Linked DNA regions of Lonchura striata. The protein of the gene in region 1 purifies or fractionates together with the protein of each later gene. This does not show direct contact. Links are inferred from orthologs where the notes say so. Each region holds a gene or a part of one and is shown in the gene's direction. Other genes may lie near its edges. The genes, in order: USP10 and SIRT6.

The links.
Region 2: the proteins of USP10 (region 1) and SIRT6 purify together in Homo sapiens (affinity purification with western blotting; 4 studies listed by BioGRID, with this or other methods). This does not show direct contact. The link is inferred for Lonchura striata from reciprocal best matches to the Homo sapiens genes USP10 and SIRT6.

Annotation. Positions count from the first base shown.
Region 1 is NC_134615.1:20,635,964-20,651,820, forward strand, and holds the start of USP10 (ubiquitin carboxyl-terminal hydrolase 10), read left to right. Parts: upstream 1-8,600; 5' UTR 8,601-8,698; coding exon 8,699-8,719; intron 8,720-15,857. Other genes in the region: KLHL36 (kelch-like protein 36), read left to right, coding at 1,076-1,631. UniProt on the Homo sapiens protein: Hydrolase that can remove conjugated ubiquitin from target proteins such as p53/TP53, RPS2/us5, RPS3/us3, RPS10/eS10, BECN1, SNX3 and CFTR.
Region 2 is NC_134630.1:6,743,973-6,759,495, forward strand, and holds SIRT6 (NAD-dependent protein deacylase sirtuin-6), read left to right. Parts: upstream 1-8,590; 5' UTR 8,591-8,621; coding exon 8,622-8,687; intron 8,688-10,024; coding exon 10,025-10,152; intron 10,153-10,415; coding exon 10,416-10,598; intron 10,599-11,819; coding exon 11,820-11,879; intron 11,880-12,648; coding exon 12,649-12,744; intron 12,745-12,976; coding exon 12,977-13,057; intron 13,058-13,138; coding exon 13,139-13,262; intron 13,263-13,943; coding exon 13,944-14,252; 3' UTR 14,253-14,359; downstream 14,360-15,523. Other genes in the region: ANKRD24 (ankyrin repeat domain-containing protein 24), read right to left, coding at 1-1,077, 1,157-1,278, 1,374-1,446, 1,522-1,620, 1,718-1,762, 1,853-1,957, 2,130-2,222, 2,320-2,348 and 8 more; CREB3L3 (cyclic AMP-responsive element-binding protein 3-like protein 3), read right to left, coding at 15,194-15,523. UniProt on the Homo sapiens protein: NAD-dependent protein deacetylase, deacylase and mono-ADP-ribosyltransferase that plays an essential role in DNA damage repair, telomere maintenance, metabolic homeostasis, inflammation, tumorigenesis and aging.

The DNA of each region.
Region 1 (15,857 bases):
CTCCAGTGCCTGACTACAAAGGATGGTGGTGAGGCTGGTGAGTGCAGCGTGATGAGTACATTCCTCTGTGCCCTGTGGCAATTGAATCCTTCAGAGTCCTTGTGAGAGCCAATTGGCTGGTGCTGCACCTTTTGACAACCCAACTCCCCCAAAAGAGGGAAAAAAGACATCTAGAAATGATGTGTTCAAAGCAGCTGATGCTGTTCATCACCTTGTGAGAGCTCAAAGGGGTTTGGTCAGGAATAGCCTAATGTGAATTTAAGAATAGCCTGGAGATTTAGGTTTATAGTGGGTTTATTATGGATGATCAAAGGGGGTTTCTCTCTGCCCTGTGGATGCAGCATGCATGGTGTTGCTTCTACCATCTCAATTTCTCTTACGTCACCATGATCTGTGATGGGCTGGGGTCTCCTGCCTTGTCCTGGGGTGACCAAAGGAGTTCCCAGATGTAGGGCAGCAGTGGTAGAGCAGACAGATGGCTCATGGAAAGGACACTGCCTGAGTTAGGACTGCAGGTGAACTGGGTAGAGAGCATCCATGGTTACCCATGTATCCACTGATCCTGAAGCTGTGCAAGGGCAAGGCAGCAGCAGTTTTCTTCTTGGTTTCTCTTGGTTTATCCCTACTGGTAAGTCTGAGAGGTGTCATGATTATTTCCTCTTTCTGTCACAGCAGCCCTTACTGAGATGTGGATTTTTTCCCTCTCTGGCCCTCTCAGACTGATGCAAGCCAAGCACTGGAGCAGAAGTACGGGAGTGAAGGTCATGACAGTAGAGCAGGATGGGCTATTTCTGTTGTGTGACACACTCCAGAGGATGCATTAAAAAGTGATTGTCATACCTTAGTGCTCTGTAGCAACCAGCTATGGAAAGGGTGATTTAAAAGTGGTTGTCAGGCTGTGCACTCTGCAGTGCAGGGTGAGGCCCTGGGAGTGAGAGGAGTTACTGGGTAACCGCCAGGTCATGGATTCTCCTGGCTTTAGTTACTGTTTATTTGCTTCTTTAGCACAGTCCTTGCTGCATGCTTGTGTGCCTTGTTCAAACCCCTGAGGACTGCTCGTGTTTGCCTGCCCCAGGTTTACCTACGGCCACGCTGGCACTGTCTACAAGGAATTCGTGTACATTTCGGGAGGCCATGACTACCAGATCGGCCCCTACAGAAAGAACCTGCTGTGCTACGATTACCGCACGGACGTGTGGGAGGAGAAGAGGCCCATGATCACTGCCAGGGGCTGGCACAGCATGTGCACCCTGCAGGACAACATCTACTCCATCGGCGGCAGCGACGACAACATCGAGACCATGGCTCGGTTTGACATCCTCAGCGTGGAGTCCTACAGCCCCCAGTGCAACCAGTGGACCAGAGTGGCCCCTCTGCTGCAAGCCAACAGCGAGTCGGGGGTGGCAGTTTGGGAAGGCAAGATTTACATCCTCGGAGGCTACAGCTGGGAGGAGGCTGTCTTCTCCAAAACGGTCCAGGTCTACGATAAGGAGAAAAATAAGTGGTACAAAGGGACGGACTTGCCCAAAGCGATTGCCGGAGTGTCCGCGTGTGTCTGCGCCCTGAAACCCAAAACAGAGGACAAAAAGAAAAAGATAAAAACAAAAAAACATCCAGATCGAGGAAGATGACCACTCCTGGATAGCCACCCTTGGATGGTGGGTTCCGAAGGGACCTTGTGTTTAGACATTTCTATCTAACCTTTATTCTTTTTCTTTTTAAACAGGGTGGGGAGGGCATCTTTTGAAGCCTAAGAAAATGTACACTTGAATGTGGTTTTTGGATTAAACTCATGTTTAAGGTAAAAACAACAAAAGAAACCAAAAACTCCCCCTCTTGCTATACAAAGGGTGATGTGGCCAGAGAGGTTCTGCTGCTCTCCTGAATGTTAAGGTTTAGGCTTCTCCTTCTGTGGTTCATGGCATTTCCACATACATCGTATTATATCGACGTTTTAAGGAAGTTTTTAAAAGCAACTTTTATACTTTTTTATACCACATTTTGCTAACTCACTCTCTCGTTTGCCATATATCACGTTGTTGACTATAGAAGCTGCTGCTCTGTGCTCGTGACCCCGCTGTTGGCGTCAGGAACTCCTCGTTGGATGATCTTTGGTGCCTGTGTGGCTTGGCCAGGCTGTGGTGCAGCTGTGGGAGCAGCACAGGCATTCCCAGCATTGTCAGGCCGTCAGCTGGAATTGGGACTATTGTCACAACTCCAGCTCCCCCAGAGCCCAGCTCGCCAGCCATGCCCATAAACACCCTTTATTTCAGTGGCTGCTGATCTGCTGGGTGGATTTCAAGGGCTTGGGTTTAAGGTTCAGCTGTTGATCATCGCTGTTATTTTTCCCTCAGTCTTCCTCTCCCATCTCCCTTTCCATGTATTTCAGATTTGCCTCTTCTTCCATCTGGTGTACGTGCAGGTGATATCCTGCTACCCTTATTCTTTTGTCTTATTTTCCCCCCTTCAAACAACTTACCTCAGTAATTGGAAAACACTAAGAAAACATTTTTGCACTTAATTTCATTTGAAACTCTAAGACCTACTACAAGCATATGTGGATCAAAAGACGTAACAATAAATTTCTGGAGTGCAAGGAGGTTATAGGTTGTTTCTTCAGTGCTAAGAAAACTAGCTGGAATTAATTTTCTGAAACTCTTTGAGGGTTTTTTTTGGCGATTTTTTTTAATTTAAAAAAAAAGCCTCAGGAGTCAGCCTTTCATTTGCATTAATGGATTTATTTTAAAGCCTTTGTATACTGCATGAGGTAATGGTTATTCTTTTTTAGCCTAAAAATAAATTTAAAACAAAACCAAAAAAAACCCAAATGAAACATTTTGGTTATGACAAACTCATAGACAAGTTTTTGGGTTTATTTTTTTTGGCATCTGAAATCCTTGCTATGTTGACTGACAATTACTTAACTTTTTGGGTACATTTTCATGTGTTCGTATGGAACAAAAATTTCAAAGACTTGCTTTTTTTCTGTTACTGGGTTGCTTGTTAACTATATCCCCTCTTTTAGCGTGTTTATGTATTACATTAATGTCTGGGAACAATAAATCCAGTTTAGAATATTCTATTCATCACAGTTTGATGTCTTGTGTATTGATTTCACTGAGGTTTTCCTTTTTGATTAATTGAAAAAAAAACTAACCCTGTAATAATTTTTCAGTGAAATTCATAATGGTGGAAACACTTTAGTAGGAAGGTAATTTTAACAATATTAAATAGAAATAGAACTTATTTAGATAATTCATGTTTTCTACCTTTTTCTCCTCCACAGAATCAGAAGAGACAAGGGGGAATTGCTCCCCACTGCCAGAGGGCAGGGTTAGATGGGATATTGGGAAGAAATTCTCCCCTGGGAGGGTGGGCAGGCCCTGGCACAGGTGCCCAGAGCAGCTGGGGCTGCCCCTGGATCCCTGGAAGTGCCCAAGGCCAGGCTGGACATTGGGGTTTGGAGCAGCCTGGGATAGTGGAAGGTGTCCCTGCCCATGGCAGGGGGTGAAACAAGATGAGTTTTGAGGTCCCTTCAAGCCAAACCATTCTGTGATTCTATGAAATTCCTTTTCACGTTTTTGCAGGTCTGACAAAAGATCCAGTCCAGTTTGTAGGGTGCTTTCAATGACAGTATTTAATGGAGTGTAGATAAACAATCTACAATTTCTTAACGTTGAACTTCATTGCATGAACAAAAGGCAGCTTCAGTGCTCATCAAAGCAAGCCTTGTTTCCCCTGGTGTGTGTGTTGGGGAAAATACCAAAGCCAGAGGCTCTGAGCGAGCGTGGGACATGTCCTGTGTCATTAGAGGTCATTGGGAGATGTACCTGTTGTTGCCAGAATTATTTTTCCATTATTGAAGGAACAAGTGATCCCCATTTGCATCTCCAAGCCCATGGCAGGGAGCACTTCTAAAGGCACAGTATGGCAGAGTGCCCCTGGATTTGGGATGTTGTGGATCCAGATGTGGCTGATGACCCCTATATTTAGGCTGTTCTGGATCCAAATGTGGCTGATCACCCCTTGGGAAGTGTCAGCAGACAGCACAGGGAGCTTGGAGATCACCCACGCTTCCCAGGGCTGCATAACTTTGGGGAATTGGTGTGCTGGGATTTCTGAAAAATGAAAGGGAGGATTTGTGTGATGCTAGTGGATTTTTTGCTGATTTTTGAGGTCTGAACAGTCCTCTTGGGGAGGAATTGCCAAAGGTGTATTCTCTTACTTCAGCCTGGCTCTTGAACCTGCACATCCCACTGCCTTCATCCCTAAGCCCTGTGAAGCATTTTACTCTTGCCAGGAAGCACAGCTCTTTCTTCTTGCCCCAGGGAAAAATAACTGGTGCTTTACCTCATTTTTAAAAATGTTTCCATTGCCAAATTCTGAGGAAAGCTCGTTTTACCTGAAACAAAGCAGCTACCAAAACCCTCAGGTTTGCTCTTCCCACACTTCCATGCCCGTATCGTGGCATTGGCACATCAAGGAGCTGCTCCTGTAACTCTGACATTAGGGAACAAATCCCTCGAGGTACCCTGAGGAAAAATCACAGCCTACTGTGAGATGCAGTTGTTTTGAAGGGCTGAGAAAGAAGATGGAAATATTTTTGTTCTCAAGTCGAAATTTTAAATTGAGAAAAATGTTCTGGTGTCTTTCTGTGTAAAAGATCTGAGTGCTTTCTGTGGTTTCTTCAAGGACTGCTGATTTTCTGGGCGCTGTTCAGGATTCCAGATTCTTGCATGACAGCAAAAAAAGGGGTTGTGTGTCTAGGGAATGTAAAGAAATAATTTCACCTTCAGTACTCTTTCTGAGAGCAATTTAACTTGCAGAAAACAAGCCCAGATTTGAATTGTGATTCTTCCCTTGCTGGTATGTCTTACAGAAGCTCTGACCAGTAAGACAAAATAAAAGCTGGCGTGACAGGTTTTAAATATTATTTTGTTTCAGCTTCTTGAGCTATTTCAGTTCTCATGAATGTAATAATGAGCGAGATGCTAATTATTCCTTCATGAACTTATGGCTCTGGGGTGTCTCAGGGATCAGGTCAGGGCAGATGGAGAGATTTTGTCACCACGCTGTGAGAGTCAGAGCACAGCTCAGCCACTCACAGCTTCCTCCTCCATCCTGGTAACTGCACACAGGGAGGACACAGCCCAGTCATGGGGTTGTTGGTGCTACACACATTTCTTAGTTCCTCCTGGAACTTGGAATGGCTTTGGGAAAAAATATACCTTTGTTCTATGGTGATGGGTTTGGTGACAAAACACAAGGGGAAGGTGAGATGGAGACTTGCTGGTTCTTTTGATGCTACAGAACTGACAGAGATGATTGAATGAGAAGAGGGAAGACTTATATTTAAGATAAGGATGAATAAGTCACAATTAATTAGCCAGAAGTTCTGCATAGATAATTGAAACACTGAGTCAAGCAGCCACATGATCTACTGAAGGCTTGTCCATTCTTCAAATGTGTTTCTGCTTGAACTAGTCCATGCTTAAGCTTTTTTACATCAGCAAATCTTTTACAATTGTTCAACAAATTTAGGAATGTGGAATTTGAAGTCAGGTTTGCATTAACCCATTTTTTTGGAACTAAATAGCTGCAGTTTGTGTCCTGTGCTACCTGTCTAAAGTCTTCCACCTGCAGAACCATTCCTGCCTTTCTGCTCTCAGGTTCCCTTTGCCCACTCCCAGTGCCTGCTGCTGGCCTGGGGCATTTAGGGCTCAGAAAGTTAAAAAAATATTACCAAGGTTGATAATTCTACAATCTCCCGTGCTGACCTAGAGCTGGCTGGTTCTCTACTGAAAATGTAAATATCCTATTTTAAAGATGAGCCAACTGACACTCCCTGAGATCCAGCCAGGGCTTGCAAATGCTTTATGTAGGCAAAGCCCTTATTGGACTTAGAAATTGCTGGGATAAAAGTTCTGCATCTCTGAAAAAAAAAAAGTCCTGGGAGCTCCTGAAGTTCTTGGCACCAGGAGGAAGTTCTACAAGGGCAGTACTAAACCTCCTGAAGTATTCCCTCTGTCCCTGAAAAAGCGGGTGCGAGGGTCCTGAGGGCTCCAGCTCCCCAAAAGTCATCCTGAGAAGTGCTCAGAATACATGTGTACACATCTGGCACTGTCACGAGCACGGATCTCATGACCTTGTGAAGTCCCAAGGAGTCCCCAGCGCTTTGCATTCCCAGCAGGATAAGAGCAATTACAGCAGGACCTGGAGCCAGATACCCTGGGAGTGGTTTATCCTTTATTTCCACAGCCACGGACCTCATTTGGTTTTGATAAATCCACACGTTGGTAAGAACATTGCTCCACGAATCTTAAGAATGTGTATATGCAGAAAGAAAAAATATGACACTGGTTATTTTTTTTAATTTGGAAAAGCAGCTTGTTGATTTGGAGGGATAATTCACAGCCACTGGCATAAAGGATGTAAGAAAATACAACTGGTTTATGCAATGAAAGCAGTAATGAAATAACAGGTTACTAAAACCAGCAAAAATTAATAAAATAGAACCGAGGTGAAACTTTGCAGCAGGTAAGTTTCATCAAAGCACTGTATTACAAAAACAAACAAACAAACAAAAAAACCAAACCCTTAGATTATTAGGAAATATTGCGGTTAAATGTTAACAGATATATAACTAAACTATACTAAGATGGGATAAAATTGAACATGTTTAAAATGTTGCTGAATGAGACAGTGATATCCTTTCTCAGTTTTCACCCTCAGCTCTGGGCTTTAGCAGTTTTGGTATTTGAACTCTCTGCTTTCCAGGCTGAAGACACTGTGTTCATTTGTATTTTGAAACAGTCAGTTTACTTAGGCAGCATTGTGGGCAGAAGGGAATTTTGCCTTCAACCAGATGAGCCACGTAAGGGTTTTCATTCCATTATTTACCTTGTAAATTAGACTCCCGAGGGGAGAGGGGCTTTCAGACGTTTGAACTGCTGTATGCAAAAAGCCTGAACATTTGTCTCCCTTTTTTGTTTCTCCCTTTTAATATTAACCAGCCATTTTTACTGCTGCTTCTCTGCCTCAGGACAGCACAGCAACACTTGCGAGAGACAAAAGCGAGGGAGCGGCAGCTGGGTGTGTCAGCTGGGAGGGTAAAGGCTGATAGAGAAAATCATTTATTGTCATTAGCACACGGCAAGTGTTGCTCTTCACAAAACAGGAGGGACGTGTCCTTGTCGTGGAGACGGGGAGGAATCTTCTTCCCACTTTCCGTGAACAGCCAAAGACACAGAGTTCTTGTGTGCTCTTCCTTTTCTTCTATTTAACTTTCTCACCGATTTAAAGTTGTCTCTATCACTCGCTGCCCAGCCGAATTAGACTTTTGCAGGACTTGGTAGTTTGTGTAAGGGAAAAAAATATGGACTAAATTAGCGATTAATTTGATGGATTCTTGCCTGGGGGTTTCAGTATTGTTATGACTCAATCCGCTCAAAATCATGAGATTGGCTTAGTCATTGCTAATTTTTTTTTTTTTTTCCTCTCCTAGATACAAACTCTGAACCCATTCCCATCCTGGTTATTTGGGACAGAGATGGGACAGCTTCGCTCTGGCATCATCTGGGCACACAGCTTTGCTTGGAACTTGCCAGATTGACCCTCAGCATCTGTAAAAGCCTGAAATCTGGACAGGTGAAATCTGGACGTTAGGAGGAATTTATTCACAGAAAGGGTGATTAAACATTGGAATGGACTGTCCAGGCTGGTGGTGGAATCACCATCCCTGGAGGTGTCCAAGGAATGCCTGGATGTGGCACTCGGTGCTCTGGGCTGGCTGACAAGGGATTGGTCACAGGGTGGACTAGGTGGTCTTGGAAGGCTTTCCCAACTTAATCAAGGAGTCATGTAATTAATTCTTTGGGTTGGAAAGGAGCTCTGGAGATCACCCAGCCCTGGACCTTGCCAAGGTAAGGACACCCGGAGCAGGTGACACCGGAACTTGGCCAGGTGTGCTCGGAATGTTTCCCTCAAAGAGACTCCAGGCCCTCCTTGGGCAGCTATTCCAGAGCTCTGCCACCTTACGTGAACAGAAATTCCCTCTCATGTTGAGCTGAAACTTCTTTATGGTTTATTTTATGGCCACTGCTGCTTGTCCTGTTGTTGAGCACCAGCCTGGCACAGGCGCCCAGAGCAGCCGTGGCCGCCCTGCATCCCTGGCAGTGCCCAAGCCAGGCCGGACAGCGCTTGGAGCGACCTGCGATAGCAAAAAGCGTCTCTGCCCATGGCAGGGGGCGGAACTGGATCGTCTTTAAGCTCCCTCCCAACCCAACCCATCCCATGATTCTGCGATCCTTTTGGCACCCGCCCTGCCGATATTTCTTCACACGCACTAACGAGATCCCCCTCTCAGCCTCCTCTTCCCCAGGCTAAACCCTCCCCGCTCCCTCACCCTCCCACAGGGGCGATGCCGGGCGCGGCGTTGCGGGGACGCTCTCGGGGCTCCCCGCCCGCCTTCCCGCCCCGCTCCCCTCAGGGGGGCGGAGCCGCCTCCCGCCCTTTTCCCTGGGCGCCCTCAGCTCCCGCCCCGTGCGCGCGCAGCGGGCGGGCGGGGACGGCGCATGCGCGGTGCGGCGCGCGCCCGCCCGCCCGGCCCGGCTGGTGCGTGCGAGGGAGAAGATGGCGGCGGCGGGGGCGGCGGCGTGAGGGGCCGGGACCGCCGAGCTCCCCGGGGACGCGGGGCGCCATGGCCCTGCACGGCGCTCAGGTACCGCCCGGGCCCGCGGGCAGCCCTGCGCCACCGCGCCCGGACCCCGCCGGGCTCCCGGCGGCGGGCGGGCCCCGGGATGTTGGAGGAGGAGGGGGGGGGAGCGTGGTGGCCGGGAGTAGGCCCAGGGTGATTGTGCACGTTCATTGAATGTGCCGAGGGCGGTGGGGCGGCCTCGCTGCCCGCGGGGGTGGCGGATCCGGCGCTCCCGGGGCGGAATTCCCATCCCGGAGGGGTCCGGAGTGCGGGGGGCCGGCCCCGCTCCGGTGTCGGTGTCGCCACGCCGGGGCCCGGGGCGGGGGTGTCGGTGCTGAGCCCCCGCCCGAGGGCGGCTCGGACAGAGCGCATCGCTCCGGCTGCGCTTTTTAATTTTTTGGAGTGGGGGGAGAGGCAGAAACGTTTCTATAACGAGAAGGGAATAAGGAGATTTGTAAACTAATCCTCCCCCCTCCCCCCCGCCCAAACACTCGATAAACCCCGGCGCATCGGGGTGCAAAGGGCTGAGTGTTGCAAGATCGCCGTGCACGGGGATGCGTGTGCGGATTCCATGGATCCCACTGGCTGAACCAGCCCGGAGATTTGTGCACCGAGTGGAAAAAAAACTGCAGTAGTGGTGGTTTTTCGCTGGAACTTTACAGCTGGGTTCCTGGGCTAATCCAGTGTGTGCTTAGAGCGAATTATTGAATGGGTTCGCTTCTCTGTTTCCCTTAAGGTTTTTCTCCCAAAGAGATTGGAAGCAGGAATGTCAGGAAAAGCGTGTGGAGCTCTGGAGTGTTTTATTTGCAAGGACTTTGAGCAACTTTTTTGTTTAGCAAATAATAAAGTTTAGAAAACTGTGGTGGTGTTAAACATAATTTTGTTAAGGATCCGTGTCTTCTGTCATAGGAAGCACGTTTCATAAAATGTAAGTAATTTCGAACAGGGTGATGCTTTATTGTAAGTTCTGTAGGTTTCAGGGTTTTTTCCTCCATGAAGTTAAGTTACACATCAAATAAAGACGTGAACTGGTGGCACTGGCATTTCCATTTTAAAAAGTTTGTAATTGGTGAAAACTATACCGACATTTCTTGTCCAGCTTGATTTATTTATGTTTGAGGGCAAAACGTGAGTGCCTTTGTTAATGTGGGTGTTCTTAAGGCAGCTGCAGTGTCTGGAGTTTGTTTCAAAATTAAGACTAATTTTAAAAATTTGCGTCCTTCTAGTTTTATTTCAAAGTAAGGGAAACTCACTTACTTTTGGACCTTTTTTATTGTCCCAATGAATGATTTTTGAATGCAGATACCTCAGGAGGATTCAGTGTCCGACTCAAGAGTTGTTTCACTGCCTGCTTTCTCCCCCCTCAGCCATACATGTGGTCAGTTTGATAACTTTGGGGTTTAAAATGCAGCTATTTTCATGATTCAGCGGAGTTAAGGACGTGTCTTGGTCTGTACATAATTTTGCTGGTGTACTTGAAAACAAGAAAACTTAGGCTGATGATTTAGTTTATGGTGAAATGCTCCATAGCTGAAATTTAAACTGGGCTGTAAATTCATCTTTAGTAGCAACTTGAGCATAGACTATTTTAAATCATCCCCCTCTGTAGGTAAAGGTGAATATTAGGCCTCGTGTGGTTGCTGCTGAACTTACATTATTTGTATTAGATAGTATAAAATGTGGAACATATATATTGTGGAAGCACATTTGTAAGATACTGTTTAGCTAATACTTTGTTCATATTACTGGTTTTGGGTTTTTTTATCCATTTTAACCAGTTTATTGAGATGATGTCTGGGATTTATTTGAGTACATCTTCCAGAACAGTGCTGTGATGCTGAATTAAGGTAACAATGTTTTGCAGCCTTTGGGATGAAAAGCCTGAAGATAATAAGTTCAGGGATGCAGTTTCACATGTAGATGTTTCCTTTTTGTTTTAGGATGGTAGTATTGCAGATGAGTAGAAAAAGTAAGAAAGTTTTGATAAAACTTGCCTGTTCTGAGTACAAGATAAATAAGATTATTGAGTCATTATGTTCATGTCATGATGCAGAAGTAGACAGAAGTGTTTTCTTCTTCCATATCTCTAATTTGGGTGTACCATCATTGAGGCATTTTTTGTCACACAGGGGAAAAAACATCTTCAAGAAAATCCCGCTGCTCCTCCAGCTAAAATGCAGAGTCAGATTTCTGCCAATGGATGGATTCATGGAATAGTGGGCAGAAATATTTCATCAGTCAGTTTGCACATTGTGACAAATGACTCCTGAAACCCCATCATATTGAATATTTCCATTGATTTTGGGTGGCCAGCTCAGCAGGCGCAGAAGCGTTTGATAGCACAGTTCAGATATTGCTGGTCTTTGTGCCTCTATTCCATGTCACTATTTCATAATCATCTCATGAGGTTTAAGTGTTGCTGTCGGTCTGCTGGGTGTGTGCTGACTGTACTCACAGTCTGTCCTTTTTTAAGGTGAGCTACAAGTAAACCTGCTGTGTATTGCTCCATGACACTAAAGATGCTAAGCTGATCTAGTTAAAACCACTTGTCATCAAGGGCATCTAAAAATCTCTTGAAAAAATAAAAAAGGACAACTTAAAAACTATTTCTCTGTAAAGAATAAAACTCTGTAGGAACTGTATAAACAGTTGTTTCAGCCACTTTTTCTATTGTTTTTCATAGAAAGAATTAATACAGGCGCATCATTTGTAAATCCTGTGAAAACAAGTTAAGCAGAAGAAAGGATACCATAGCAGAATGAATCATTTATGCTTGTTTTGCTCTCCCACCATTACTGTGGTGTCAAATGAACTCGGTGCCATTTTAAATGTACCACGTTGGCCCCAAACCCGGCTGAAGTGAAAACCAGGCGAGTTTGAGCTGAGAAAAAAAAAGCTGAAACAGCTCCTAAGCTGCTCATCCTCACCCAGGTTGTGTCTGGCCTGGCAACCAGAAGAACTGGAACTCAGAACATGGCATGCAACCTGACTCCCTGAAACACTGCACTGCAAACTGCTTCTTTTATGGCCGGCTTGGAGGGCTGCTCCCTGGCAGGGTGCAGTTTGATGTTTTCTTAAGCCAGGACTCTTTCTAGAAGACAAAAAAAAAAAAAGAAAAATAAAAAAAAGCAGCAGCCTGCAGGCATTTGTGCTGTGCTGTCTTTGCAGTGTCTTGCCTGATGTTTGTGGTGATTAGGAAATCGATGTCGTGAAAATAATGTCCAAAAAATGTTTGTTATGCAGCTGGATGAGTTTCTTGTGTACAGATGTGTAACGTTGGAGTGTCCTCACGGGCAGAAAGAAATGTTTGGGGATGGGGCAATTGGATTGTGTCAGGTTTGTGAAATCCACTGAAGATGTGGGGGACACCCTGAACACAAAATAAAAGGTGGCCGTGGGAAAGAGCTGCTGGGAGTGGAATTGGAGGGAGGTGTGTGAGTGCCCCATCTTGCTGCAGCTGCTCAGTTGCTGTTGTCTTTTAAAGGTCTGAATAAGCTGAATTTGGCTTTTTTTCATTGCTCAGAAGGGTCTGGGCTCATCTTTTACCCATGGAGTGAGCAGTTATTCCAGGCTTCTGTGATCTTGGGAATTGGGGCTGCAGCTGAAACCGGGAGTTTCGGTAGCCAGAAGGGATCATTTGCCTTTCTAAAATGTGAATGGTGAATCCACACAGAGTAAAGTGGGTGAATGTGGGTTGGTTGACTTAAAAAAAGGAAGTCTGGGAAAACTGACATAGAACTTAAATTTGGAACTATATGGCAGCATGCAAATAGGCTAAAACCCACAGGTTTTGTGAATCACTGCTATTTATTCTGTGTATTCTAGACTATAGCACTGATCTGGAGACTTCTTAGAATGGATCCAGCCATTTACCTATTAATAAATCCAGTTTCTGTAGGCAGTTGCTCAGACATACTGGTCTTTCCATTCATGTAGCTGTTAAAATACTTGTAAAGTTAAGTGGGGTTTTGTTTGTAGGTAAACTGAGCAGTCTCATTTCTTAGTGATCGACACACAACGTGCTGTGTTGTACAAAACTGCCAGATCTGTTAGAATAGAAGTTGCTGGCCTTGGGCCACTGGATTATAGTCATTTGTCACTCTAATGCCATTTCAGCAATGTAGATGTTCATTTCCAAAGAATTAAACATGCTGGAACTGCGGTTTTTCTTTTTGATGGAAGTGTTTTATGTGTGATCATTAAACATACAACTGGGGATTAGGGAACAAAGGGTAATGCTTCATGGTGAAAAAAGTGTGTGTGTGTGTACATGTGTGTGTGTTTGTATATTCAGACATTCCATAATAGAATAGTCTGATATTTTAAAATTGAGGTTCTGAAACCTATTTTTGTTTTATGAAATTGTGCCATAGGTATTTAAGACTGTGTTTTAAGTATTTCCAATAATGGGACTGTGTTGGTTATTTTTAAAACACTTAAAAGGATTCTGTTTTGTTAGTGCTCATGTTAATATATTCATTAATGCTTTAATAGAGTAAAACTTTGAAGTCTTTTCATTTTGTATTTGACTCTGTAATACCTAATTTATTTCCAGATATTCCTGATATTTTAAATATGTGTAAGAACTTTTCCTCCTTGTTTGGCAGCATATGATCTATTGATCTTCAGTGTGTGCTACAAGGTCTGTTTTTCTTCACCAGTAGTGTGCAGGAGGAAGATTAAATCACAGTAGCCTTAACAAAATGTTTGTGTAAGGCTTCTTTGAATCGTACACCTTGTGGAAAAAAACATCTGTTCTTCAAATCAAGAAAGGCTTGTTGAGATTCTGTGGTAGCCACCAATGTCAGTGCCGTAGGAAAGAAATGTACCAGGAGCACTTTGGGGAATTTGCTGCTTGTAGTATTAAATGTGAATTCACATCATGGATAGAAGCTTTAAAAGAAGCACCGTGTATTATTTGCATTGGAATTATAGTAGGAAAGAAAGGGATATAGATGGGCTGCCATCGATGGTAATGTTAACACAAACTGGAAAACCACTTAAGGGATCTGAAATTTTTTTGCTTTGTTAAAAAAGTAAATACCCCAAGTGAGGCTCTGCTTTGAGGTGGAAGAGAAAACTGCACAATCTGTAAGAAGCTGTAAAGAAGAGCTTGTCTCTAAAGGTTGTGTGAAAAATGCATTTAAAAAAACATGCAAGAAAGTAGGTTTTCTTCAAAGAATTTTGTGTATGAAAGACTTCTTATTTTGTTTGAAATCCACTGGGCAGACCAGCAGAAATAGTTGAGCTATTCCCTCAGTGCACTGGGCATATTTTTTCATACAACGTTTAGAGCCTGCTCAAGTGATTCACATATTTCCTGCCTCATTTTTCCCCCTGAATGTTGCACACTGACAATGCATTTGCCACTGTAACTCAAAAATACAGAAGTCGTGTATCATCCATACAAATAAGTGAAAGCTTCTGGTCCAAAAATGTTTTGTCTTGATGGAGTGGGATGTCTTTGCAGGTAATAGAACAACCTGTTCAGATAGGTAAGATACTGATAATCCCTTGAATTCTTGGTGTAAGCTTTAGGCTGGATGGAGAGGGAAGTGACAAAAGTTCAGTTAATTTGTTTAATGGTAGAGGCAGGCAATTAGATTAGTTGTATTCAAATAATGGCTTTGGACTATGTTACTTAGGGAGGATATTCAGTTCAAAAGGAGGCTGGTATATAGTGTGGAATGGCCTTGTCATTTTAAATGTGAGTAGATAGGGTAAAAAGGAGAGGGAAGTCAAGCAGAAAGGAAAAGAGTCATTGTCAGCACAGGTAACAGCTGAATTGCAAAAAGAATCGAGTTCTCTTGAGTTCCAGTCTACTTAGTCTAGCCATTAAATCTTATGGGTTCTAATAATAGCTAGCTGACCAAAGAAAGAAAGAAATAGCACTCTGATGTCCTTACAGCATGGAAAACCTCACTTTCTGTTCTGCTGCTGCCTTTGGGATACAAATCCAAAACCACAACAGTTTGAAAATGCCTGTGGAGCACTGTCGTTAATTGATAGAAAGTTGGAAAAAAGTCAAAGACAACTTATTGAGGCAATTTCCACTTATTTAGGCAGTACTCACTTTCTTCTCAGTTAAGGGCTGTGACCATAGACCATTGCTGTTAAGAAGTTTAGGCTTCCACATTTCATCACACATGGTGAGAACTCCCTAATAGAACTTGAAACAACAACAACAAAAAAAGAGTTTATGCAGTTAGTGTGCTTTCAGAGCAGACAAAAACGAGATACATAAAATTGTCATCCTGGCATTGCAAGCAACAGAAAATGTAAGTGCAGCAGAGTCAGAAGCGTGAAAGAGGATCAGTCAGCTTTCAGAGCAGAAGAAATAAAACTGTTGAATTTGTTCCTGTCAACAGGTTCATGGTCTCAGTCTCTTGAACTTCACCGTAGTCCAGACATAGTTCTGGGCTGTGGTGGTCACCGGGCTGTGGTGGTCACTCTTGTTGCTGTGAGTCCAGGTGGCAGATGCTGCCGTGGTGTTCCAGGTGTTGCCAGAGCTGTTTCCTCAACTGGAGAGGATAAAGGCAGTGGATGTGTATTACACTTGACACTAATGATTGTCACATTAAGGCTGATACGATTTTCTGATTTGATCCAATCACATCATTGAAATAGAGATTTCTCCAAGTTATCATTGGCGTTGAGCCCTGCAGAGTGGTGTGGTAGGGCAGCTGTGCACATTTTTCCCCTTTGCTTTGTGCTGCTGGCAGTGGTGGGTGCCAGGGGCTCGGAGGGGTCCCTCCTGCCCAGCAGCAGTGCTCCAGTGGGGCTGAGCTGTGGAGCCTGTGTTTTCATGGTAGTGTGACTTCATAATTGGTCTGAATTCCTCCTGGATTTTTATGGTTAGGAAAGAGATGAGCTAAGAGTTAAGGTGGTTTTTAGCCATTTGGTATTCAAACCATACCAAAGCGTGTGTGCTCTAAATTTATTTATTTTGTGACAGCTTGAAAAAAACCACTTGTAATTAGTGAACAACTGCTTATTGGCGGGTCTGAGTGTCTAGCACATCCAGTGTGTTTACTGAGTAGCCAGTAATATTTGTTAATGACAGACATCTCTAATGTGAAATTTAAATCAGTTTGTATTTTCTAGTTCAGTTTGTGTTTTCTGCCTTACTTGCAAAACAACCATTTTGAACAGTTGTGCAATT
Region 2 (15,523 bases), on another chromosome or scaffold:
CCGCCGCGCCTCGTCCTGGGCCTGCTCCAGCTGCTTCTGCGTGGCGCCCAGCCTGTCCTCGGCCGCCTGCCGCTCGCTCTTCATGAACAGCGCCTGCCGCTGCACGCGGAACACCTCCTCGCACGTCTTCTCGTGCCGCCGCTCCAGCTCCTGCAGCCGCTGCGCCAGCGCCGCCGCCTCCGCCCGCAGCCCGGCCTCGGCCGCCTCGTGCTGCGCCCGCGGCACGGCCGCCGCCAGCTCTGCCTGCAGCCGGGCGGCCTCGCGGGCCTTGGCGTCGGCCGCGGCCTCCAGCTGCGCCAGGCGCTCCCGCAGGCCCCGCGCCTGCTCCTGCAGTGCCGCCGTGGCGCGGGCGTGCTCGTCCCGGGGCACCCAGCCCTCGGCCTGCGCCCGCTGCAGCCACGCCGGGGCCTCCTTCTCGTGCTGCCGCAGCCGCTCCCGCAGCGCGCCCAGCTCGGCCTCCCTGCGCGCCAGCGCGGCCCGCAGCTCTGCCAGCTCTGCCAGCTGCGCCTCGGCCTCCGCCCGCTGCCGCGCCGCGTCCGCAGCTCTCGGCCTGGCCTCCAGCTCCCGCCGCAGCGCCTCGGCCTCGGCCTCGGCGCGCCCGCAGCGCTCCAGCAGTGCTTCCTTGTCCCTCGACGCCTCCTCCGCAGAGGCTCCTGGTGAGGCCGCAGCCTCCGCAGCCTGCAGCTGGGCCTGCAGCTCCTTCAGTCGCCGTTCCCGCTCCTCCAGCTCGGTCTGCGCCCGCTTCAGGGCCGCCCGTGCCTCCGCCAGCTCTGCGCCCGGCTCCCGCTCGCCCGAGGGTGAGGAGGAGGAGGATGTCTGCACCCCCAGCTCGCCCAGTGCTGCCTTGCACTCGCCCCAGGCCCAGGCCGGCTCCTCGGCGGGACGCGGCCCCGCGGTTCCCTCTGGGATGGGCTCCGAGGCCGCGCGCTGCCCGTCCCCTCCGGCCCGAGCCGTGGCCTCCCTGCCCTGCGCCCGCAGCCGCTCCAGCTCCCGCTGCAGGGCCTGGTACAGGCTGGCGGGCACCACGTCCCCCGGGGCAGGGGGGCTGCTCTCGTCCCGCTCGTAGTTCTCCAGCACCTGCCGAGAGACCGTGAGGCCACCGTGGGCCAGGGGACAGGGAATGGAGGGACAGACGGATGGACAGAGGGGGACATGCCTGGATTTTCTCTCTCAGCTCCTTGTTCTGCACGGTCAGGGACTGCACCTGCCCCTGGAGAGTGGCCAGCAGCTCCTCGGCCGAGGGGCTCAGTGTCTTCTTGGAGAGCAGCATCTCCGCTCCTGCAGGGCACAGGGACATGGGGCGGTGCCCACCTGTGCCCCCACTGCCCAGTGTCACCTCCCCGAGGTGTTATTGGGAGGCTGGCAAGACCTACCTGGGAACTCAAGCGGCTCTCCCTCCTCGTCCTGCAGCGTCTCAATGTCATAGCTCGTGTTCTCCTTCTCATTCTGGGGGTGCAGGGTGGAGGTGATGCCCCTGTGCCCAGCCCTGGGCACTGCCAGCTGTGTCCTGCCCACACCCACCTCCATCGAGGACAGGCGGCTCCGCAGAGCCTCCACTTCCTTGCCCAGCTTCTCCTTCTCCCCATCCCGTGCCACCAGCCGCTCCTCCAGCTCCCGGATCTGCAGGGCAGGGTATGGGAATAGGGTCCCCTTGGCTCCTGGCAGAGTCCTGGTGGCATTCCCAGCACCAGGACCCCGCGGAGAGCTGAGGCCTCACCTGCTTCTCCATGGAACGCAGGGATGCCTCATCCAGCTCTGCCCGCTGGCGGGACCCAAGGAGAAAAGAGGGAGGGGTGAGTGCTGTCCCCATCTCCCCTGTCCCCTCTGCTCCCCAGGACCCTGCAGCTGGTACCTCCCGTCTCTGCTTCTCCTGCTGCTCCAAGCCCCGGATCTTCTGCAGGAACTGGGCTCTCTCCTGCCGCAGCCGCACGATCTCCTCGTAGGCGTCCCGGTCCTCCTGCAGGGAATCACGGAAAGCATCGAGTCCAACTCCTGGCACAGGAAACCCCAAAAATCCCACTGTGTGCCCGAGGGGGCTTTTTGGCACCAACCCCCAATGAGGGGATCCTTCATCGAGGAGTGTTTTGGGCTACTCAGGCCAGGTGGGGACCTGGGGACCTGTTTCTCACCTGGCTGGGGGTGCCCAGGGGAGGCAGAGGGGCCTTCCTCTTCCTCGGGGTGCTGCTCTTCTCCCTGACAGATGACTGGCTGGGCGAAGATGTCTGCGGACACCCCAGGGCAGAGGGGACGTCACACCCACAGTGCCCTCCCTCCTTCCTGAGCCAGGGGACCCTCCAGGGATGGGCACCAGCCCCTCACCTGCGACGTCTGCTCAGCTGAGTCCTCTTCTGTGGAGCAGAGCGAAGAGAAATTGGGGAGATTTAGAGGCTCAGAGCTCAGAGCAGAGGCTGGGGACAGCACAGGCAAAGGCAGCCCCAAACACCCAGGAAAAGGGGACACATCCCCGCAGCCTCTGCCAGCCCTGTCCGACGGTGGCAGGGAGCCCGGGGCGGCCCGGCAGCCTCACCGCTGGCCCAGGAGCGGCGCTGGGCCGCCTCTTGCAGGAGGTGCTGGATGAGGACGTTGCCTGTGGCCAGCCCGTAGTGAGCGGCGTCGTGGCCGGTGGCGTCCACCACGGCCACGCGGGCACCGGCGCTGACCAGCACCTCCACGGTGTCCACGCTGCCGCTCTCGCAGGCCAGCATCAGCGCTGTCCTGGGCACGGGGAGAGCGTGGGTGAGGAGGGAACCATCCCTGCGGCCGCCGCCGGGCCCCGGCCCTGCTGCCCCACCTGCCCTGCAGGTCCCGGCAGTTGACGGCGGCCCCGCGGTGCAGCAGGTACCGGCACAGCTCCGAGTGGCTCATCTTGGCAGCCAGGATCAGCGGCGTGGAGCCGTCCTGGGCATGGCAGGGGGAAGGATGAGCAGAGGAGACTCAGATCCTCCCGATATCACACCAATTTTCACGTCCCACCTCAATTTTCACGTCCCACCCCAATTTCCACATCCCACCCCAAGCGGTGCTGTGTTTTGGGACAGCCCCAGCCTGGCACAGCAGGACCAGGAGTAGTGTGACCCCACCTTGTCCTTGCTGTTCAAGGGAGCCTTGAAGTCACAGAGGATCTCGGAGCAGGAGATGCAGCCGCTGGCAGCTGCAGACAAGGACAGAGGCTGAGCGCTGCCCCTACGGGGACGTGAGCAGGACAGGGCTGGCACTGTCCCTACTCACCCGCCAGGTGCAGCGCGGTCCGGCCACTGCCATCGGCCACGTCCACGGGGCAGGAGGCCTGCGGGGAGAGCCTGGGTCACGGGAGGAGGGGGACAGAGGGACAGACTGCTCGAGTGGCTCTGTGGCACAATGAAGGACTGAGAGACTCTGTGGTGTGGTGAAGGAGAGGGACAGACAGACCAACCCCCTCTGGCTCCACGCTGTGCTGAAGGACAAGGGACAGACCCCTGTGGCTCCCTGGTGCCAGGCAGCAGCACAGAGCTGGGAACCACCATGCCTTGGCACTGGTGAGGGAAGGGGGTTCAAGGACAGGGAGGACACCGTGCTGGCACAGCACCTCCCTCCCTCCCTCTGTCCCTCCTCCCTCTCCCTGTACCTGCAGCAGTTTGCTGACACACTGAGGGTGGCCGTGCTTGGAGGCCAAGTGCAGGGCAGTGTAACCTGGGAAGGGACAAACAGGTCAGAGCATGGCCAGCAGGGCTGTGCCAGAGGGGACAGCTTAGGGACAGAGAGAGACAGGCACAAAGCAGGATCTGCTGGAATGGGGCTGAACAGGAAGGGAACGACCCCAGGAGCTCATGAAGCAATAATAGAGCTCCTTTAGGAAACTGGGACAATTTACAGCCCCCCAGGTGTGGCCACCACCTCTGTCCCCTCATCCTCAACACCTGGGGATGACCAGTGGCCCTGTGTGGCCCATGGCATTAGGCAGGGGCACATGGTGGCCATGCCCTCACCCGAGCTGTCCTTGGTCATGGCATCCACGCCGTGGGCCAGCATTGCTTCCAGGCAGTCCACATTGCCCCGCGTGGCGGCCAGGTGGAACCTACAGCGAGACCAGGGGCTGAGGGACTCAGAGGATGTCCCCTGTCCCCAGCCGTGTCCCCAGGGCAGGGCCTGGCACGCACGCGGATTTGCCCTCCGCGTCCAGCTTGGTGGGCACCAGGCCCTTGCGGAGCAGGAGCGACGTGACCCGCCCGGCATCGTTGTAGTCCACGGCCTGCAGCAGCTTCTCGTCGTTCTTGGTCCAGTCCTGGCTCTGCAACAGGGCCCAGAGGAGGCTGTGACAGTGTCAGCTGTGACAGTGCTGTCCCCAGGGCTGGGCTGGGCTGGCTCTCCTTGTCCCCAGCCCTGTTGTGCCCCTTCCAGCCCTGTCCCTGGGGGTGGCCGTGTCTGTCCCCCTCTCCTCCGAGCTCACTCCCAGGTACGGAGAGTTCAGCAGGGATTGGGATGAAAATCCCCTCCAGTCCCCCAGTTTGCAGCTCACAGAGTGGGGGATTTACAGACACAGCCCAGTTTAGCTGTGCCAGGCTGGGATTTGGGACTGAGCCCAACTGTACAGGGGTTTGCCCCTGCCACCCTGAAATCCCAGTACTAAACCCAGTCAGAACCCATGGGAGTCCCATTCCCAGCCCTGCTTTGCTCCCGGAGGAGGAAGGGATCAAACCAGGGCGAGCACAGCTGGCAGCGAGAGCAGATCCCCAGGGATGCCCCAGCCTCCCGGGATAACGGGGCACAGCGCTGTGCCCCCCAAAACAGGACCGCAGCTGGCTGGGATTTGCTCTCCCGGTGCTCCCTGTCCCGAAGGAGGACCCGCAGTGGGACAGGACCAGGACAGGGACTGCAAGTCCCGGGTTCACCCCACAGCCCGTGACGACAAAGCGGCGCTGGCTGCGCTCGCGGTGGCAGGAAATGGATGTCACCTTTCGGGAGCCGCTGGCACCTGTCCCAAACCCGCCTGTGCCCGCCGGGTGCCCCCGAGCCCCTCCAGCCCGGTGGGACCAGGCACAGGGAGCAAACCAGTCTCCCAGGGCTCCTGGCAAACTGGGAGGGTGGTGCCCGCTCCCCCCACTCCCTGGCCAGGCAAGGACAAAGCAGGATGGGGAGGACACGGGGAGCCCCGGGATGGGGATGGGGATGTGGGGTGCAGGTGGGGCGGGGGGGACACGGCTCAGCCCGCGGGACGCGAGCAGAGGGGAGCCGGGAGGGGAGCGGGACGTACCGCGAAGGAGGCGGCGGCACAAAGGCAGATCTGCTTCATGGTGCTGAGCAGGAGGCGGCGGGAGGACGCCATGCGCCCCCCGCTCCCCGCCCCGGCCGGCACGGGCACCCCCGAGCCCGGAGCGCTCCGGCATCGCCGCCCGGGCGGGGGCCGGGGCTGCGGCAGTGGGAGCCGGACCCGCCTCCTCCGCCCCCGGCCCTCCCTCCTTCCCTCCCTCCTCAGCGCATCCCTGCATCCCTGCATCCCTGCATCCCGCCTCGGAGCGGCTCCCAGGCAGGGCTGAGCATCCTGAGCATCCTCCCGGCCCCCGATGGGGGGACCTGGGACCCCCCAAACACCTCCAGGGAGGAACCCCGAAACGCAGAGGGTCCCCAGACGCTGTCCGGGCAGTCCCGCTGGCAGCAGGACATCGGGAGCCTTTCAGGGACGTGTCCAGGGCAGTGTGGGGAAACTGAGGCATGGAGCGCCCCGAGCAGGATGGTCCCACAGACTCCGGGTGAGGGGCTTCAAGCTGTGTCCCCATGTCCCCTGCTGTGTCCCTCCCAGTGCACTGGGGACAGCGCTGTCCCCCTCTGCCCTCTGCGGCCCCATGCCAGGCTGCTGCTGAATAATTGAGGAGCATCGACAGGCTGGTTCCACGGGCTGTGGCAGCTGGCAAAGTGGCACTTGTCCCCAGGAGGGGGACAGGGAGGGGACCTGGGATCTGCTTCCCTCTCCTTTGCTCTGCCCCACTCCCAGCGATGGCTCTGGGAGCACAGGGGGTGCACTGGGGGCTTGATCCCACCAGCCAGAGTGGCAGTGCCAACTTCTGTAGGACTGCTGTCCCCGTTGTGAGCGACCACTCCGTGTCCCAGGGCAGGTCCCCGTGTCCCCACAAACACCCTGGAGCAGGTCACCGTGTCCCCACAGACACCCTGGAGCAGATCCCCGTGTCCCCACAGACACCCTGCAGCAGGTCACCGTGTCCCCATGTCCCCAGGGATGGCACTCACATCTGCCTTCTTGAACTTGGCCTTCAGGCTCTTCATGGTGGCTCAGCCTCAGCCCCGTGGCAGCTGCTCGGGAGGGATGGCCACGCTCCAGGAGGGTCTGTCCCTGCCTGGGGACAGCTCAGCGCCCCCGGTCCCGCTGCTCCCAGCCCGTCCTGGCGTTCCCAGCGCAGCGCCCGCAGCCGGGAACCGGAGCCGGGGATTGTATTACGGCCGCGGCTGCGGTTACAGCCCCGGGCAGGCGGGGGGGGGCCGGGCCGGGCCGTGTTTGGGGACAAGGGACACGGCCTGGGGTGCTGGGGAGGGCTGGGCTCTGATGGTTGGCACCCCTTGCCCATCCCAAACACCCCCCGCCCTTGGTGGCACCTCTTGTCCTGACCTGACATCCCCTTCCCCACCCTGGCAGCCCCTGGTTCTGACAGCACCTCGTGTTCTTGTCAGCATCCCCTGCTCCTCCCTGGCACCCCTGTCCTTCCCTGGCACCCCTGCTCCTCCCTGGCACCCCTGCTCCTCCCTGGCACCCCTGTCCTTCCCTGGCACCCCTGCTCCTCCCTGGCACCCCTGTCCTTCCCTGGCACCCCTGTCCCTCCCTGGCACCCCTGTCCTTCCCTGGCACCCCTGTCCTTCCCTGGCACCCCTGCTCCTCCCTGGCACCCCTGTCCCTCCCTGGCACCCCTGTCCTTCCCTGGCACCCCTGTCCTTCCCTGGCACCCCTGCTCCTCCCTGGCACCCCTGCTCCTCCCTGGCACCCCTGTCCTTCCCTGGCACCCCTGTCCTTCCCTGGCACCCCTGCTCCTCCCTGGCACCCCTGCTCCTCCCTGGCACCCCTGTCCTTCCCTGGCACCCCTGCTCCTCCCTGGCACCCCTGTCCTTCCCTGGCACCCCTGTCCCTCCCTGGCACCCCTGTCCTTCCCTGGCACCCCTGTCCTTCCCTGGCACCCCTGCTCCTCCCTGGCACCCCTGTCCTTCCCTGGCACCCCTGTCCTTCCCTGGCACCCCTGCTCCTCCCTGGCACCCCTGTCCCTCCCTGGCACCCCTGTCCTTCCCTGGCACCCCTGCTCCTCCCTGGCACCCCTGCTCCTCCCTGGCACCCCTGTCCCTCCCTGGCACCCCTGTCCTTCCCTGGCACCCCTGCTCCTCCCTGGCACCCCTGTCCTTCCCTGCCATCCCGGCCTTTGTCAGCACGCCCTGTCCTTCCCTGGTAGCCACTGCTCTGCCCTGGCACTCCTGCCCTTGCCAGCACCCCCTGTCCCTCCTTCCTTCCTTCCTTGGCATCCCCTGCTCTTGGTGGCACCTCTTGTCCATCCCTGGCACCCCTGCCCATCCTGTGTCCCCCCGGGCAGGGGTTCAGTGCAGGTGGGGCAGTGTCCGGCAATGTCGGGGCAGTGCCAGGGCAGTCCCGGGCAGTCCCGGGGCAGTGTTGGGTCAGTCCCGGTTCAGTCCCGGTCACTCCGGTCAGTCCCGGTTCAGTCCCGGTCACTCCCGCTCAGTCCCGGGTGGTCCCGGGTCAGTCCCGGTTTAGTCCCGGTCACTCCTGGTTCAGTTCCGGGCAGTCCCGGGTCAGTCCCGGGTCAATGTCGGGGCAGTGTCCCGCAGTCCCGGTCACTCCCGGTCAAGTCCCGGGCGGTCCCGGTTCAGTCCCATGTTACTCCGGGTCAGTCCCGGTCACTCCCGGGCGGTCCCGGGTCACTCCCGGTCAGTCCCGGTCGGTCCCGGCCGCGCTGAGGGCAGTCCCGGGTCGGTCCCGGGCGGTCCCGGGTCAGTCCCGGTCACTCCCGGTCGGTCCCGGGTCAGTCCCGGTCAGTCCCGGGTCAGTCCCGGTCACTCCCGGTCGGTCCCGGGTCAGTCCCGGTCAGTCCCGGGTCACTCCCGGTCACTCCCGGTCGGTCCCGGGTCGGTCCCGGGCGGTCCCGGGTCAGTCCCGGTCACTCCCGGTCGGTCCCGGGTCAGTCCCGGTCAGTCCCGGGTCACTCCCGGTCACTCCCGGTCGGTCCCGGGTCAGTCCCGGTCAGTCCCGGGTCACTCCCGGTCACTGCCGGTCGGTCCCGGGCGGTCCCGGCCGCGCTGAGGGCAGTCCCGGGTCAGTCCCGGTCAGTCCCGGGTCACTCCCGGTCACTCCCGGTCGGTCCCGGGTCAGTCCCGGTCAGTCCCGGGTCAGTCCCGGTCGGTCCCGGGCAGTCCCGGTCGGCCCCGGCCGCGCTGAGGGCAGCCCCGCCCTGCCCGGCTCCAAGATGGCGGCGGCGGCGCGGGGCGGCCCCGCCCTGCCCGGCTCCAAGATGGCGGCGGCGGCGCAGGGCGGTCCCGCGGCCCCGCCCTGCCCGGCTCCAAGATGGCGGCGGCGGCGCGGGGCGGTCCCGCGGCCCGGCCCCTCCCGGCTCTTCCGCCGCGCGGCGGCCGCGCCGATGGCGGTGAGCTACGCGGCCGGGCTGTCCCCGTACTCGGACAAGGGCAAGTGCGGCCTCCCCGAGGTGAGCGCGGCACCGCCGGGGCCGTCCCCGCCCGCCCGGGGCAGCCCCCGCCCGCCCGCCGGGCCTCCCGCGGGCCCGCCGCGTCCCCATGGCAACCGCGGCCTCGGGAACCCAGCGGGCACCGAGCCCGCCGTGTGTCCCGAGCGCATCCCGCGGCTCCCTCCCCGTCCCCCTTCCCTGGGTGCCTGTCCCCGACACCCCATGGCTCCCTGGTCCCCCTCATGTCCCCCCAGGCCGCCCCCGGCTCCCTCGGCCCCTCTCTGTGTCCCCTTCCATGTCCCTTCTCCATGTCCCCTTCCATGTCCCTTCTCCATGTCCCCTCTCCATGTCCCCTTCCATGTCCCCTTCCATGTGTCTTCTCCATATCCCCTCTCCATGTCTCCTCTCCGTGTCCCCTTCCATATCCCCTCTCCTTGTCCCCTTCCATGTCCCCTTCCATTTCCCCTCTCCATGTCCCCTCTCCATGTCCCTTCTCCATTTCCCCTCTCCATGTCCCCTTCCATGTCCCCTCTCCATGTCCCCTTCCATGGCCTCCCTGACCCCACCCTGGTCCTTCCTTCTGCCCCCACAGCCCCCTTGGCTCCCTCCGTGTCCCCCCTGAGCCCCAGCAGTTTGGGAAGCCTAAAACGAGGTTTGAGGGGAGCCACAGGGACACTGCAGCCCGTCCTGAGCCCAGGGGATGGTGAGGGGACAGGGACACACAGGGTCCTGTCCTCGTCCCCGTCCCCAGAGATGGGGCTGGAGAAGTGTCTCAGGAATTAAATCCCGTGCCCAAACCAGCATCTGGTGTCCCTCGCTGTCCCTCGGCCCTGCCCTGTCCCCAGAGCTGGTGGCACTGCTGGTGACAGTGGGGCACATGTGGGGTGGCCCCGGGTGGCTCCTGGAGCCCAGCCTGGGCCAGCTGCCAGCCAGAGCAGCAAACTCCCTGTTGGTGCTGGGAGTTCCCAGCCCTGTCCCTGCAGCGAGATGCTCCAGGCAGCGTGGAGTCTCTCCTATTAAATGTTTCTGTCCTTAAGGAATGCAAAATCATTCATGGATAAGGAAGAATTGTGGGTTACTGGGCTTCTAGAATCATGGAATCCCAGAATGGTTTGGGTTGAAGAGACCTGAAGGATCATCCAGTGCCACCCCTGCCATGGCAGGGACACCTTCCACTATTCCAGGTTGCTCCAAGCCCTGTCCAGGCTGGCCTTGGACATCCCAGGGATCCAGGAGCACCCACAGCTGCTCTGGGAAATCCATTCCAGCGCTTCCCCACCCTCACAGGGAAGGATTCCTTCCCCATATAATCCATGCCCACATCTCTCCATCCCATGCTGGTTTTTGTGTTTTCCCAGATTTTTGACCCTCCGGAGGAGCTGGAGCGGAAGGTGCAGGAGCTGGCAGAGCTGATCCGGAGCTCCTCCCATGTGGTGTTCCACACAGGAGCAGGGATCAGCACGGCCTCGGGCATCCCTGACTTCAGGTAAGTCCGAGGGCTGGCAGGGTGGCACCTCCTCCAGGTCCATCTTCCTTCATGGAAAGCTCTGATTTATCCCAGACCCGCCCCATTCCTGCTGTCCGTCCTGGATCCAGCTGCAAACACCATTTTCCCTCTTGCACATCTCAGCTGTTGCCACAGAATCCCCACATTGTTTGCATCAACCCCCAGAATCCTGCTGATCCATGAGCTCTGCTCCCATGGATGGGGCACCTGGAGCCTGAGCTCTCCCTTCCTGCTCTTTCCAGGGGTCCCAATGGTGTCTGGACTATGGAAGAAAAAGGGCTCTCCCCAAAATTCGACACCACCTTCGAGAATGCCAGGCCCTCCAAGACTCACATGGCGCTGCTGGGGCTGCAGAGAGTGGGAATCCTGAAATTCCTGGTCAGCCAGAACGTGGACGGCCTGCACGTGCGGTCAGGATTCCCACGGTACCTTCCCAGCCCCACACGGGGGGTTTCATTCCCAAGGAATCTCTGCCCTCTCTGATACAGGGAGTGGAAGCTGGAAAGGGATAAACCAGCTGGAATTTAGAGGGGAGAGGTTCTGGTGCTGTTCCAGAGGGTCTTGGAATCAAATCAGCCTTGGATGTTGCTGTCTAGAAATGTTTCCAGGTGCTGTTTGTGCATAGAAAAAACAGAGATTATGGAATTATGGAATCCCAGAATGGTTTGGGTTGGGGGGCACCTTAAAGCCCATCTCATTCCCCTGTGCAGGTGTCTGTGCAGGGCCAGGGGTTGAACTCAGTGATCCTTGTGGATCCCTTCCAGCTCAGGATATTCTGTGATCCCTGGGAGCAGTCAGGGCCAGGCTGGATGGGGTTTGGAGCAGCCTGGGACAGTGGGAGGTGTCCCTGCCCGTGGCAGGGGGGTTGATCTTTTAAAGTCCTTTCCAACCCAACTCATTCTGTGATTTTATGAGTCAGGATGTGAGTGAGGAGCATCCATGTGTCCTTGGAGAAGGTGCCTCTCACAAACACCTTCAGCCAGAGCTGCCTCCAGGGCATTTCCTGTCATTACAAGCCCCAAGTCCTGGGCCCTGCTCCCAGCCCCTTGTTTGTCTGTTTAATCCAAACAACCATGGGAAAAGCAGTAGGGAATGATCACAGAATTCCATGGTGCTCCCACAGCCTGGAGCCACTGGCTCCTGTTCAGTTCAGCCCAGCTCTGCCTCCCAAGTGAAACCTGTGCTTGAGGAAGCTGAACTGGGGCCAAACTGGGGGAAATCAAGTCAGTCCTGTCTCACGCAGCCTGGAGGAAGTTCCCAGTGAGCGTGGGGCTCTGAGGAAAATAGGGAGAGCATGGCTGCGTCTTCCTCTGGCTTCTGCTCTGAGCCTGAGGGGGATTTTAGGAAAAACAGGTGTCAGAGGGCTGGAAGAGCACAGGGACAGACAGGAATGTTGGGTGCTGGAGAAACAAAGATCTGGGTGCTCCCAGGAGCAAAGATTTGAGTAGGTCAGGAGCTGCAACCAGATGGAAACACTGAAATTAAAAGGCTGGGACCTGCTGTCCCTTCCTGAGTCCCTGTTGGGGATGAGCCCATCACCTGGCAGAGCTGGAATGCAGGGAAGCCCCCGAGGTTCCTGGGGAGGAGGTGGGGTTCCCCCAGGACTCCCCACCCTTCCCCAGCTCACCTGTGCCTTTCTCCCACAGGGACAAGTTGGCCGAGCTCCATGGGAACATGTTTGTGGAAGAGTGCGTGAAATGCGGGAAGTACGTGAGCCCTGGGGGGGCTTGGGTGGGATCTCCATCCCAGGGGAAGCTGGGCTGGGGTCTCCATCCCAGGGGAAGCTGGGCTGGGATCTCCATCCGAGGGGAAGCTGGGCTGGGATCTCCATCCGAGAGGGAAGCCGGGCTGGGATCTCCATCCCAGGGGGAAGCTGGGCTGGGGTCTCCATCCGAGGGGAAGCTGGGCTGGGATCTCCATCCCAGGGGAAGCTGGGCTGGGATCTCCATCCCAGGGAGAAGCTGGGCTGGGATCTCCATCCCAGGGGAAGCCAGGCTGGGATCTCCATCCGAGAGGGAAGCCGGGCTGGGATCTCCATCCCAGGGGGAAGCTGGGCTGGGATCTCCATCCCAGGGGGAAACTGGGCTGGGATCTCCATCCCAGGGGGAAGCTGGGCTGGGATCTCCATCCCAGAGGGAAGCTGGGCTGGGATCTCCATCCCAGGGGGAAGCTGGGCTGGGATCTCCATCCGAGAGGGAAGCCGGGCTGGGATCTCCATCCCAGGGGAAGCTGGGCTGGGATCTCCATCCCAGGGGGAAGCCGGGCTGGGATCTCCATCTGAGAGGGAAGCTGGGCTGGGGTCTCCATCCCAGGGGGAAGCTGGGGTGGGATCTCCATCCCAGGGGGAAGCTGGGCTGGGATCTCCATCCCAGGGGGAAGCTGGGCTGGGGTTGCCATGCCAGGGGGAAGCTGGGGTGGCCATGCCAGGCCGTGCTGGGCACTCAGCCCCTCGCTGAGCGCTCCGTGTCTCCGCAGGCAGTACGTGCGCGACGCCGTCGTGGGCAGCATGGGGCTCAAGCCCACCGGCCGCCTCTGCAGCGTCACCAAGGCCCGGGGGCTGCGGGCCTGCAGGTGGGGATCCCCCCGGGGATGTGGGATGGGGGGTGACCCCACAGCCCCTCAGATGTGGGAGAAGCAGCCCAAGGTGCAGGAAGATCTCTCTGGGTGCTCTCCACCCCTTCACAGTGTGCGGACAGGGAGGGTGGGACAGGCTCTGGTCGTTGTCCCCTCTGCCAGGGCAGCTCTGCTGCCTGTTCTCCTGCCTTTTCCAAGGAAAACCATGGTCCCTGTGTGTGTTTTCCAGAGGGAAGTTACGAGACACTATTCTGGATTGGGAAGATTCCCTGCCTGACCGTGACCTGACGCTGGCAGATGAAGCCTGCAGGTACTGACACCTGCTCAGGAGGGGAACAGCCTCTTCCCACCCATCCATGCCCTGATTCTGGATTTCTCCTCCTCCCTGCAGGAAAGCTGATCTCTCCATCACGCTGGGGACCTCTCTGCAGATCAAACCCAGCGGGAACCTCCCACTGATCACCAAGAAGAGAGGAGGGAAGTTGGTCATCGTCAACCTCCAAGCAACCAAACACGTGAGTGAGCGTCCCGCAGCTCTGCACTGCTCCCTTCCCCTGCTGTCCCCTGTTCCAGGCCCATCTCAAGTTTGTCCCTGCACGTTGTCCCCTCCCAGGTGGCCTCTCTTAGCAGTCAAACAGGCTGAGAGTCCTGGGTTGGAGGGTTTAAACCTGCAACTCCTGCTAAACACGTAGAGATGGCAGGTAAATATTAGAGTCATGGAAAGGGCTGGGTTGGAAGGAACCTTAAAGCTCATCTTATTCCCTCTCCCATGGGCAGGGACACCTTCCACTATGCCAGGCTGCTCCAAGCCCTGTCCAAGCTAGTCTTAGGAGCAGAGTGAAAGCTCAGCCTGGAGCCTGCTGTGTCCTCCCAGGGTTTACAGCCCAATGGAAGGGCCAAACACATGGAACCCGTGGAGGGCACGCTCGGTTCCTGCTCGGTTCCTGCTCAGATGTTGGTGCCCCAATTGTCCAAAGTCTTTAATGCCCAGAGCTGGGGGTTCCTGGGATATCAGCAGAGCTCCCTTGTGCCCGTCACACTCTGTCCCTGTGTCCCCATCCCCAGGTGTGGCTCCAGCCCACGCCCCAGCAGAGCCCCAGGGCCAGCTGATGTCCCTTTGGGAATGACACATGAGGGACATCGCCGTGTCCCTGGGAGGGGCCGTTTGTCCCCTGAGCCGTGTCCCTGCTGTCCAGGACCGCCAGGCCGACCTGCGCATCCACGGCTACGTCGACGAGGTGATGACCAAGCTGATGAAGCACCTGGGGCTGGAGGTGCCCGAGTGGACGGGGCCGGTGGTGGTGGAGAGCGCCGAGCTGGCCAAGGGCGAGCAGCTGCAGGGGCGGCTGAAGGAGGAGCCCCAGGGCCAGCACAACGGCACGGCAGCGCCGTGTGCCGGGAGCGCGCCGCTGGAGCGCCGTGACGGGCTCAAGCAGGAGCGTCCCAGCCCGGACACGGGGCCAACGCCGGTGAAGAAGATGAAGGTGGAGCCTCTCCTCACCTGACCTGGACTGTCCCTGTCTCACCTGGGCTGCTTTTCCTACCGACTTTTTTTTATACCCTTAAATATTGTCCCTTTTTTTATGTCAGTATTAAACATACTTGAATTGTGGCTCGCGGAGCACCCACGGGCCTAGGGAGGGCCTTGCATAGAGGAATTCTTCCCTGTGAGGGTGGTGAGGCCCTGGAATGGAATTCCCAGAGCAGCTGTGGCTGCCCGTGGATCCCTGGAAATGTCCAAGGCCAGGTTGGAGCAGCCTGGGACACAGCAAGGTGTCCCTGCCCATGGCAGGGGTGGCACTGGGTGGCTTTAAGGTCCCTTCCAACCCAAACCATTCCATGACTCTGTAATTCCATGTCACTTGGTCATGGAAGGGACTGGTGCTGGCTGCATCCCAGTTGGACTGGGGGCTGGGAGCTGTGGGAGGGTGCCCTGGCCCCAGCTCCAGGTTGGGCATGGCCGTGTGTCCCCCCTCTCCCGGGCCCCTCATGGCAGCTGGGCTTGAGGTCCCCCTGGCCCAGGGCTCCTTGAAACCTTGTAGATCACCCCCTCTTAAACTACAGCAGGTGGATTTTTTCCAAAATATCTTATATTTAGAGATGAAAATAAAATTCTAAAACCAAAACAAAACCAAGAGCAAAACCAACCATAGCCAAGATGCACCATCAGCAGCCAACCAGGCCAGGGCCCCTCCTGCTTCCTCAGCCCCATCCTGAGTGACCCCAGGTCCCTTCCACAACTCCCACTGTGCCAGGGGGGCAGGAGCAGCCCCTTCCCTCCCAGTAAGGCCAGTGGGAACCGGTCTCCTCTTCCCAGTTCACAGAATCCAAGCAAAGCCAAGCAGGTCCAGCATCCGGAGGCAGATCCCGGAGGGGTCCCCCCGAGGGCGTGTCCCGTAGGGATGAGGTGCTGTCACCCCATGGCACCCCCGTGCTCCTGCTCTGCCTAAAGCTCCTCCGCTGGCTCCAGCACCGCGGGCCGGCCGTGCCCCGGCTCGGACCACGCCAGGGATGCCAGCGCCGGGTGTGGCGCAGAGCCACCCCCTGGCACAGCGTCGGCCTGGTCCCCGTCCTCGTGGCTCAGCCCCTCGGTGGCCGAGGTGTCATTCTGGAGGGACCCTTTGTCTGGGAGTGCTGGGAATGTGCTCTGCAAAGCCTCGTGCAGGGTCTCGGGGGTCTCCTGCAGCGGCTCCGACCACAGCGGCTCCGGGGGCTTCTCATCCCCGGCCTGGGGCTGGGTGTGAACCACGCGGGAGGCGGCGGCGTTGTGCAGGGA